Linked DNA regions of Arabidopsis thaliana. The protein of the gene in region 2 interacts with the protein of the main gene of each other region in a pairwise test. Each region holds a gene or a part of one and is shown on either strand. Other genes may lie near its edges.

Region 1 (5,228 bases), on a different chromosome or scaffold from region 2:
ATGTCTTATCCGGATGGAGAGGAGGGAACGAGAGTGTGATCTGCAACAATGTTCTTTACTTCATGATATACTCAACGGGAGGCTCAGATCATCGCCACGGCTTGATCGCTTCGAATCTATCCTCGATAGGATCACCGTCAAGCGGAATCTTGATGAGGAGTTTCATTCCAATGCCGTGTTCTTTAACCTGCGGGAGATTGATGAATCTAAGAGAGAGGCTTGTGATTGTCGGAGGAATCGGGAAACATGATCGACCAGAGGTTATAAAAGGGATAGGGATTTGGGTTTTGAAAGGGAAGGAATGGGTAGAGATGGCGAAAATGCCTCAAAGATTCTTCCAAGGTTTTGGTGAATTCGACGAGGTTTTCGCGAGTAGTGGCACGGATGATTTGGTTTACATTCAAAGCTATGGATCTCCCGCGCTTCTCACGTTCGACATGAATCTCAAGTATTGGAGATGGTCTCAGAAATGTCCTGTTACTAAAAAGTTCCCTCTTCAGCTCTTTACTGGGTTTTGCTTCGAACCAAGACTCGAGATTGCTCCTTAGTTGCAATGAAGAAGCAAATGGGTCTGTGAAAGTCTTGGTCTTTTGGATTGTTTTTGCACAGAGAAATCGCCGGCGGCTTTATGAAGATGATGATACGGTAATGTTTTTAAATTTTAGTTACTGGAAATGTTTTTCAGGAATATTGTTATTTGCAATTTGGTACTCTGTTAATTATAAATTTATAAAATGAGGCCCAGATACTTTTATTTGAACAAACGAACCCTTCTCTATCTCTCAGTGAAATATAAGAACATTTTTCAACATGTGGCCCACAATATCTCATGTAAATGGGTCGGATTCTGAAACTGGAGGTTGTCTTGTTGCTGTTCCTGGTGGATAAAAATAATGATTTTGTTCCTTTTTTTTCCACATATATTCATAATGATTTTTCATGTTTTATTAATTAATTATTGTTGTAAATTATTTTAAAGAATTATGTTTCTGTACTTGTATAAAATTGGGACCTATTTTCGTGATGGGATTTGTCAGGTTTGGCAGTGTTAGGTTTACGGGTAATGGACAACAGCTATTTTATTGTGTATTTTATCATTTTCTCAAGGGTCACTTATTTTCAATTTTCATAGCTATAATAATTTACTAAATTTTAAAATATAACAAAATGTCATTCATTAGTTATAATCGTATAAAAGTTGACGAAGTGATATATAGATTCTACATACTAAAAACAAAATTAATTTGTGTCATTATGCCAAAATGTCAAAAGGAAAAGAAAATTTAGACAATTACTCTGACACATCAAATCAGCTAAAACCTAACTAAATATACCAAACTAGCAACACATATTTTTGTTATTAAAAGCATTTATAATGATAAATCATGATCAGAATCATAGTAAGCAGATTCGAACACTAGTCTCTCAAATTTCGGTAGTAAAGTTTTCAACCATTAGAAGACAAATACGATTTTAACATCATTAGTATTGTTTTTTCTTTTTTAATTTAAGCGTTGGCTTTCCAAAATGAAATAGTAACAAGCATTAACGAGTTAAGTTGTCAATGGGGGAAGTTAAAACTCTTTAAAACCAAAAAATTGACCACACAACACATATAGTGCCCACTAGTTCTCTCAAACGAATATGGAATACTTTAAAACCCACCTCTATTCTCAAGAATTAAAGCCCAGAATTTCAACGTTCTAAAAATAGTTTTGAAAGATTTGTTTTTCACGGGTTTTTCGTAAAATAATTATGAACAAAACAAATAAATTCAAACTAATTTTTACACGTACAAATCTGACTCCTAGCCTCCTAGATGAAATTCAAAATTTTGTACCAGCAGCTCAAAGCTACTAGGTAAAAAATGTCACGAGAGAAAACCGGAGGAATATTGGTGGTTCATCAATACGAATCAAACCGAACCAAGTCATAAACCGGTTCATAGAAAGATAAGAAGACAGACAATCAGTCATCACTTTGGTCTCGTTGAGCCTTTCGTCTATCTCTCACCTGAAAGAAAGACGTTCAGCTTTCTCTTTCCAAAATCAAAAGCTCTCCGATCAGTTTCTCCGGCTTAGGAAATTAATTGAAGGAAGGTGATGAGAGGTACTACTGAGAATACGGATCTGTTCGATCCCAAAACCCAAATGGATCCTGACTTCACTCGTCATGGTTCTTCCTCCGACGGCGATTTTGGATTCGCTTTTAACGACAGTAACTTCTCTGATCGTTTGCTTCGGATCGAGATCATGGGTGGACCTTCGGATTCTCGGTCTGAAGTTGAAGGGTGTACGAGTATCGCTGATTGGGCTCGTCATCGCAAGAGAAGAAGAGAAGATATCAAGAAGGAATCTGGTGGTATGTAATTTGTTCGTATGGTTTAGGGTTTTTGTTATTGAAGTCGAAGTCCAAGTCTTTTTGGGTTTTAATGTTGTGATTTCATTTTGCAGTCACGATTTCAGACATTGTGGCATGTCCTGAGGAGCAGATTTTAACTGATGAACAACCTGACATGGATGGATGTCCTGGTGGTGAGAATCCTGATGATGAAGGAGGAGAGGCAATGGTTGAAGAAGCTTTATCAGGTACTACTATAGAGCAACATCCTTTGGCGAAGTTTTAGCTGTACACAAAGGAGCTTGTTTTGTTCTGAGAAGTGTTTTATTTATTTAATGTTTAGGTGATGAAGAGGAAACGTCTAGTGAGCCAAACTGGGGAATGGATTGTTCTACAGTTGTTAGGGTTAAAGAACTTCATATTAGTTCTCCTATTTTAGCTGCCAAAAGCCCTTTCTTTTACAAGGTATCTAAATAGGTTGTTGATGGATTTTGCTTTTGCTCTCATGTGTACCTTACTCTTTAATCCATTTGTGTTCTTTTTTTCTCGGAAATGTTGATAGTTGTTCTCCAATGGAATGAGGGAATCTGAGCAAAGGCATGTCACCCTTAGGATTAATGCATCAGGTACGCCATTGCAACATTAGCTATCTGAACGTGTTATTGATTTATCACACTAGATACAGTTGTACCGTTCTCTATTAGGTCCACAGAATCAAAATATGGTTTTGATTTGAGTTTGTTAAGGTAACTTGGAGATTCTTAGATTGATTTACATATTATACTCTACTTTGTGTGTATTACAGAGGAAGCTGCTTTGATGGAGCTTTTAAACTTTATGTATAGCAATGCGGTATCTGTCACCACAGCACCTGCCTTATTAGATGTGTTGATGGCTGCTGATAAGTTTGAAGTTGCCTCTTGTATGAGGTACTGCAGTAGACTTCTCCGTAATATGCCTATGACTCCAGAGTCTGCCCTGCTCTATCTCGAGCTTCCCTCTAGTGTTCTAATGGCCAAAGCTGTTCAGCCTTTAACTGATGCTGCAAAACAGTTCCTTGCAGCCCGCTACAAGGATATTACCAAGTAAAGCCCCTGAAACTACATATCCATGATATTACTGTAATCAAGAGCACATGAGATGGTGGGGCGATTCTTATAAGGCATGTCTAAACTTTCTTTTCCAGGTTTCATGAGGAGGTAATGTCTCTACCTTTGGCTGGAATTGAGGCAATTCTATCAAGCGATGAACTCCAAATTGCATCAGAGGATGCAGTTTATGATTTTATCTTGAAGTGGGCAAGGGCGCAATACCCTTGTTTGGAAGAGCGAAGAGAGATTCTCGGGTCACGCCTTGCACTCTCCATCCGCTTCCCATTCATGACATGCCGAAAGCTGAAGAAAGTGCTGACTTGCAGTGACTTTGAGCATGAAATAGCATCAAAGCTTGTTCTAGAAGCTCTTTTCTTCAAAGCAGAAGCCCCACACAGACAACGTAGCCTAGCCTCCGAAGAATCTGCATCCCTGAACCGCCGCCTGATAGAGAGGGCTTACAAATACAGACCCGTCAAAGTGGTCGAGTTTGAGCTTCCTAGACCGCAGTGTGTAGTCTACCTAGACTTGAAAAGAGAAGAATGTGGGGGACTGTTCCCGTCGGGTAGAGTGTATTCGCAGGCCTTTCACTTGGGAGGTCAAGGGTTTTTCCTGTCAGCTCACTGCAACATGGACCAACAGAGCTCGTTCCACTGTTTCGGGCTGTTCCTAGGGATGCAGGAGAAAGGGTCGGTGAGTTTCGGAGTGGACTATGAATTCTCGGCAAGGTCAAAGCCCGCAGAGGATTTCATAAGCAAATACAAAGGGAACTACACATTCACAGGAGGGAAAGCAGTAGGTTACAGAAACCTGTTTGGGGTCCCATGGACGTCTTTTATAGCGGAAGATAGTCAATACTTCATCAATGGCATTCTCCATCTCAGAGCAGAGCTTACCATCAAAAGGTCTACAGATCCTTAGTGACCGTTTACTTCTCAATTGTCACTGTCTCTCTTTCCTTTACCTGCTGCTAAATCTCTCGCTCTCTCTAACTTGCCTTTTTTTTCTTTTCTTTTATAAGGCTTGAAGAAGACTAATAAAGCTTATAAAAGTAAGGTTAAAAACGTTTCGACGACAACGTTATAAGAAGAATGTAAATGCGTTCTTTTTTTCTATCTACCCTTACTCTTTTGGCTTTGGATTATAAGTTTAACTCTTCAATGAAATTCTTAGCGTAGAGATTCTTGTATTATGAACGAAGTTGTGAACAGAAAAGAACGAACGTAACTCTCTCGTCTCATTTAACTAATTTATCTAGTTGGATTGAAATAGACATGACTTTTCGATTTGGGCCATGCGTATGTTGTTGGAGTTGGACTATTTTAAATTCCTGCAATCAATTTCAAAAAAATTCAAATCATATTGACCGTTGATTATATACCGTACACGTGGTACAATGTCACAGATATCTTATTATAATACTATACAGTTCACAGTCCTTTGTTTTCTTTATTAGACAATCATGAGACAAAGTACTGTAATAAACAATTAATCATACATGGAATTGTGAAGTAACTTTTTTGTTACTCTTTTACCAGAAATGATCAAATTTTACAAATGATTATTTTTTGTTCTAAAATTTATTTTAATGTCTTAGATTAAGGAAAGTAAACTAGTTTTGTAATAAATAAAGAAAAATAATTAAGCTCTTAAATATGTATAAATGATTATGCATTTAAGTATTAAGAAAGTGCAATAGTTTTTTTTATTTTATTTTATAATCAGAGAATCCTCGTGCACCAAGAATCTAGTTCCACTAATTAAGGTGTTATTCTTCTCCTCTAACACCAAATTATG
Region 2 (4,859 bases):
GCTCTCTACTGTATATGCTTTGTTTCAAGCTTTTGCTATTTCATATGTAGATGCGCTTCTTATCATCGGTTTGCCAAATGGTCCTACTGCTCATTTCAAATTGTCAAATCTTGTTCTAAGGAAGGATATTAAGGTATGTAAGCTAACCATTACTCTTCTCTACATCGAGTGTAGATTAGTGATCACTGAATTGGATGTTAAATGTAACTGCAGAATCACGGAAATCCTACAAGCCATCAACCAGAACTGGTTTTGAATAACTTTACAACGCGTTTAGGGAATCGTGTTGGGAGGTATAGTTTTCATAGTGTTGTTGACTTGGTTTTATGGTCTCTTTGAATTTCTTGCTGATGTTAGATTTTTCCTTTTTTCAGATTTTTTCAATCACTCTTCCCTCCGGATCCTAATTTCCGTGGTAGGAGAGTTGTAACATTCCACAACCAGCGTGACTTTATATTTTTCAGACATCACCGGTACATAACTTCACCTTTTCTTCTTCGAGTTGCTTTTGCTCCATTCTCCAATAAAACTTTTTATTGAACAAATTTCAACACTATCCAGTTACATATTTGAGACAAAGGAAAGCAAGAGTGATAAAGGAAAAGAAGAGACAATAAAACCTCGTCTTCAGGTCAGTTTTGACCATGTTGAATCAAAAAGTAATCAACATTATCAATGTTTGTATCATTAAACTTTGGATTTTTAGGAATGCGGTCCTCGATTCACGCTTAAGCTAGTTACTCTACAGCATGGAACTTTTGACACCAAAGGTGGAGAATTTGAATGGGTTCATAAGGTAAAATCACCAGAAATGGACACGAGCAGCTTCATTGCTGTTCTTTAGAGTTTTTGATGATTTTTAATTTTATTTTCTGATGTGTTTTTTTTTTGTATTTCATTACAGCCTGAAATGGACACGAGCAGGAGAAGGTTCTTCTTATAAATTCTGCTGTCTTCCGAGTTTCACCAAGTTTTGTGTTTATTTTGCATTTTCGAATTTTCCCTACCTCCGTCCAAAATTGTATGTCTTTAAAACTTCTCATTTCTTTTTTCAATATAGCCATGAGCCATCGAAACAATCGTAAGAGTACTTGTTTCAACAATATAGGCCCTCGTTTTTTACTAAGCTATATATAGTTGGTTAAACTTATGATTGTTTGGTTTGGTATATATCGACATCGAGCATTTGAATCTACAGCAGTAATATTGGATTTTGTTTAGTAGTTAAGTGGACCTTTATGTTGCATAATTAATAGTTTTACGATCATCAGTTCATCACCATAATAATAGGATTAGATTTGAGGATGTGAATGGTTACGGTGGTTGAGACGGATAAATCCGTTTGCGAATTAGACCGTTTTTGATTTACCATTTATAAATTAGAGTATGTAAGATTATAGATTAAGAAAAATAAAAGAAAATCGTCGCGGATCAATTATAGACCGTTTTTACCGCCGTAAGCATTCAAATCCTGAACATCTCTAATGATAATGTAATAGGATTGACAAAAACAAATCTAAAAATTAATTACGATTATTTAGGTGTAGTATAGAACGTAATTACGTATATGTATGTTACTATGTTGTCAATTATGTCGGCTATAATATTCCAGAAAGATCCTTCGGAAAGGAAAAAAAAAAACTGAAACTTCGGTTCGAAGTTCAAACAATTTTTCTTACTGCCACGTGTTACTTCATACACAATTAAAATATTTTTTTGTCCCTCTCATTTGTCAACGTTTAGGGGAAAAACATTAATATACTTTTACTGCATTCCGCCACAAATATCTTTCTTTCTTTTTTTATGGTTCTTCTTCACCCCAACTGTATTAGTACTGTTCGTCTTTCAGAAAAAACAATAATAGATAGAGGAAAAAAGAAAGAAACAGAGAAGTGAGAAAAAGCCCTTAAAACTCAAACACTAAAAAATTTTCAGTGTCGATTCAAAAAGTTTTGTTATTTGATCTGTTTCTGTGTAAAAAAAATGGTGAAAGATCTGGTTGGGTATAGATTTTATCCAACGGGAGAGGAATTGATAAACCATTATCTAAAGAACAAAATTTTGGGTAAGACTTGGCTCGTCGACGAAGCCATTAGCGAGATCAACATCTGTAGTTACGACCCAATTTACTTGCCTTGTAAGTTTCCTCACTTCAAAATCATCATCGTTGTCTCATCATCGGTCATTTCTAATTCTGGATTTGTTTGGTTGTTGTAGCTTTATCGAAGATAAAATCGGATGATCCTGTGTGGTACTTCTTCTGTCCAAAGGAGTATACTTCTGCGAAGAAGAAGGTAACGAAGAGGACTACAAGTTCAGGGTATTGGAAAGCTACTGGTGTTGATAGGAAAATCAAAGATAAGAGAGGTAATCGCGGCGAGATTGGGATAAAGAAGACGCTTGTGTATTATGAAGGTAGAGTTCCTAAAGGTGTTTGGACTCCTTGGGTTATGCATGAGTATCACATCACTTGTTTGCCTCAAGATCAGGTATAATAAACTCAGAGTTTCTTGAATTTGAGCTTCTGTGTTAGTTTGACTTAGCGTTATGTTTCTGTTAGTTGATCTTCTTGAATTGGATTTGGGTTTGATTCATCTGTCCCTGTGTTGGTTGCTATCTTTATCCCAATTTGAGGTTAAAGTCATGTTCTTGTAAGAATAGATTTGGGTTTGACTTATCTTTTCCCTATGATGCTTAGTACATCAAGTTTAGGTTCTGTGTATCAGAGTTTGAAGTGTTATATATAGAAGTTGTGGCCTAGAAGGCTAGTGTATTTGCTTCCCTGTGTTGAATATATTACTGTAATCTCCCCTGTGTTGGTTGCTATCATTAGTACGTTCTGTGTTGTCACAGAGTTTTAAGCGCTATGTATAGAAGTTGTAACCTAGTGTTCTTACTTCTGCCAAAGCTTGTGATTGTTTGAGTTATGTGTGTTTGATTTTTTGTTTTGTTGGCAAAGAACTTATGTGTGTGTGTACTTTTGGAATTTGTTCAGAGGAACTATGTTATCTGCCAAGTGATGTATAAGGGTGAAGATGGAGACGTCCCATCTGGTGGTAACAACTCGAGTGAGCCGAGTCAATCTTTGGTCTCTGATTCGAATACTGTCAGAGCTACGAGTCCCACAGCGCTTGAGGTGACTCCAGTTTCTTTATTTGATAATCTCATGTACTTGATTCGTTTACTCAAAACTCTCTTTTACATTTTCAGTTTGAGAAGCCAGGTCAAGAAAATTTCTTTGGTATGTCTGTGGATGATTTGGGGACTCCAAAGAATGAACAAGAAGATTTCTCTTTGTGGGATGTACTGGATCCAGACATGTTATTCAGTGACAATAACAATCCTACTGTGCATCCACAAGCTCCTCACTTAACCCCGAATGATGATGAGTTTCTCGGTGGATTGAGGCATGTTAACCGAGAGCAGGTTGAATATTTGTTTGCCAATGAAGATTTCATATCCAGACCAACCTTATCTATGACCGAGAACCGCAACGATCACAGGCCAAAGAAGGCTTTGTCAGGGATTATTGTTGATTATAGCAGTGATAGTAATAGTGATGCTGAATCGATATCTGCAACGGTAAAGCAAATCACCCGTTTTCTTTATCGTTACTTCTGTGCTGTAATCTCCATTCTCACATTTTGATTATATTATGTCAGAGTTACCAAGGAACATCAAGTCCAGGTGATGATAGTGTTGGTAGTTCGAATAGACAATTTCTCCAGACTGGTGGAGATGAGATTCTATCGTCTTGCAATGATCTACAAACCTATGGAGAACCTTCCATCAGTAGTAGCACCCGGCAATCTCAACTCACACGAAGCATCATACGACCAAAACAAGAGGTTTTGCGTTGCTCTTATGTTGATTCTATATGATTTCAACATATGTTGGATATATAAAGATAATGATTATGTAACTTTCCTTCACAGGTGAAACAAGATACATCAAGAGCGGTTGATAGTGATACATCCATAGACAAGGAGTCATCTATGGTGAAGACAGAGAAGAAGAGCTGGTTTATTACAGAGGAAGCAATGGAGAGAAACCGCAACAATCCACGGTATATCTATCTCATGAGAATGATCATAGGCTTCATTCTCTTGCTGGCTCTCATTAGCAACATCATATCGGTGTTACAAAACTTGAACCCGGCGATGAAGTTTGATCGCGAGAGATAGACAAAAGCTAGCAGATTGATCAAAGCACTCGTTTTTACTTTGCTTTTATTTATTTCTATTTTCTTCCGAAATTTTGATGTATATATGTGTGTGTATGTATGACCAAGAGGTATGTCTTGTACCTAAAGTTAAATAAAATTTAGGGTTTGAAAATTTTATAACATTTAGAGCGGGTCCATAGTTCAGTGCCGTGGTGGAGCATTAGACTGCTGATAAAGAAAACATTCGACAGAGACCAGTGAATGGTTTGAAAGGTTTCTCAAAGATTTGGTTTGTTGATAATTAAGAGAATGATTACATACCGGACAAGGGACTGGTCTAATGTGATTGATACTTCGATGATCAATCAATCAAATATTACTTCGATGATCAATCAATCAATCAATCATATTACTTACAACTATGTAATATGATTCTATGAACCTTTTTCTTGTTTTTTGTAAACTTTAATCCCTTATCTTGCAAGCCAAATCCATAGACATATATTTTACAAAATTAGTAGTAGTACTATATTGAAGTAGAGAAAGTAATAACGCCATGTCGTCGTCGTCGATGGTGGCGGCTATAATTTCCGAAAGATCCTTCGACTCAAAATACACAAAAAAAACAAGGAAAAGAGAAAGGTTCATACTTTCGTTCGAAGCTCCGACAATGAACCGTCAATAATTTGCCACG

What was found. Proteins that work in one complex are often made in the same cells at the same time.
Region 1: the proteins of NAC069 (region 2) and POB1 interact in binary tests that used the Arabidopsis thaliana proteins (3 or more experiments, as listed by UniProt).

Annotation. Positions count from the first base shown.
Region 1 is NC_003074.8:22,793,602-22,798,829, forward strand, and holds POB1 (POZ/BTB containin G-protein 1), read left to right. Parts: upstream 1-1,820; 5' UTR 1,821-2,102; coding exon 2,103-2,361; intron 2,362-2,453; coding exon 2,454-2,588; intron 2,589-2,683; coding exon 2,684-2,805; intron 2,806-2,902; coding exon 2,903-2,966; intron 2,967-3,145; coding exon 3,146-3,425; intron 3,426-3,526; coding exon 3,527-4,352; 3' UTR 4,353-4,452; coding exon of another isoform or gene 4,453-4,468; 3' UTR 4,469-4,723; downstream 4,724-5,228. Other genes in the region: HWS (Galactose oxidase/kelch repeat superfamily protein), read left to right, coding at 1-548.
Region 2 is NC_003075.7:673,350-678,208, reverse strand, and holds NAC069 (NAC domain containing protein 69), read left to right. Parts: upstream 1-1,763; 5' UTR 1,764-1,983; coding exon 1,984-2,137; exon of another isoform or gene 2,138-2,217; coding exon 2,218-2,489; intron 2,490-2,995; coding exon 2,996-3,136; intron 3,137-3,210; coding exon 3,211-3,582; intron 3,583-3,662; coding exon 3,663-3,848; intron 3,849-3,935; coding exon 3,936-4,184; 3' UTR 4,185-4,347; downstream 4,348-4,859. Other genes in the region: MEE49 (Ribosomal RNA processing Brix domain protein), read left to right, coding at 51-133, 214-293, 375-473, 562-631, 707-796, 905-943. UniProt on the Arabidopsis thaliana protein: Transcription activator activated by proteolytic cleavage through regulated intramembrane proteolysis (RIP). Involved in salt stress response during seed germination and seedling growth.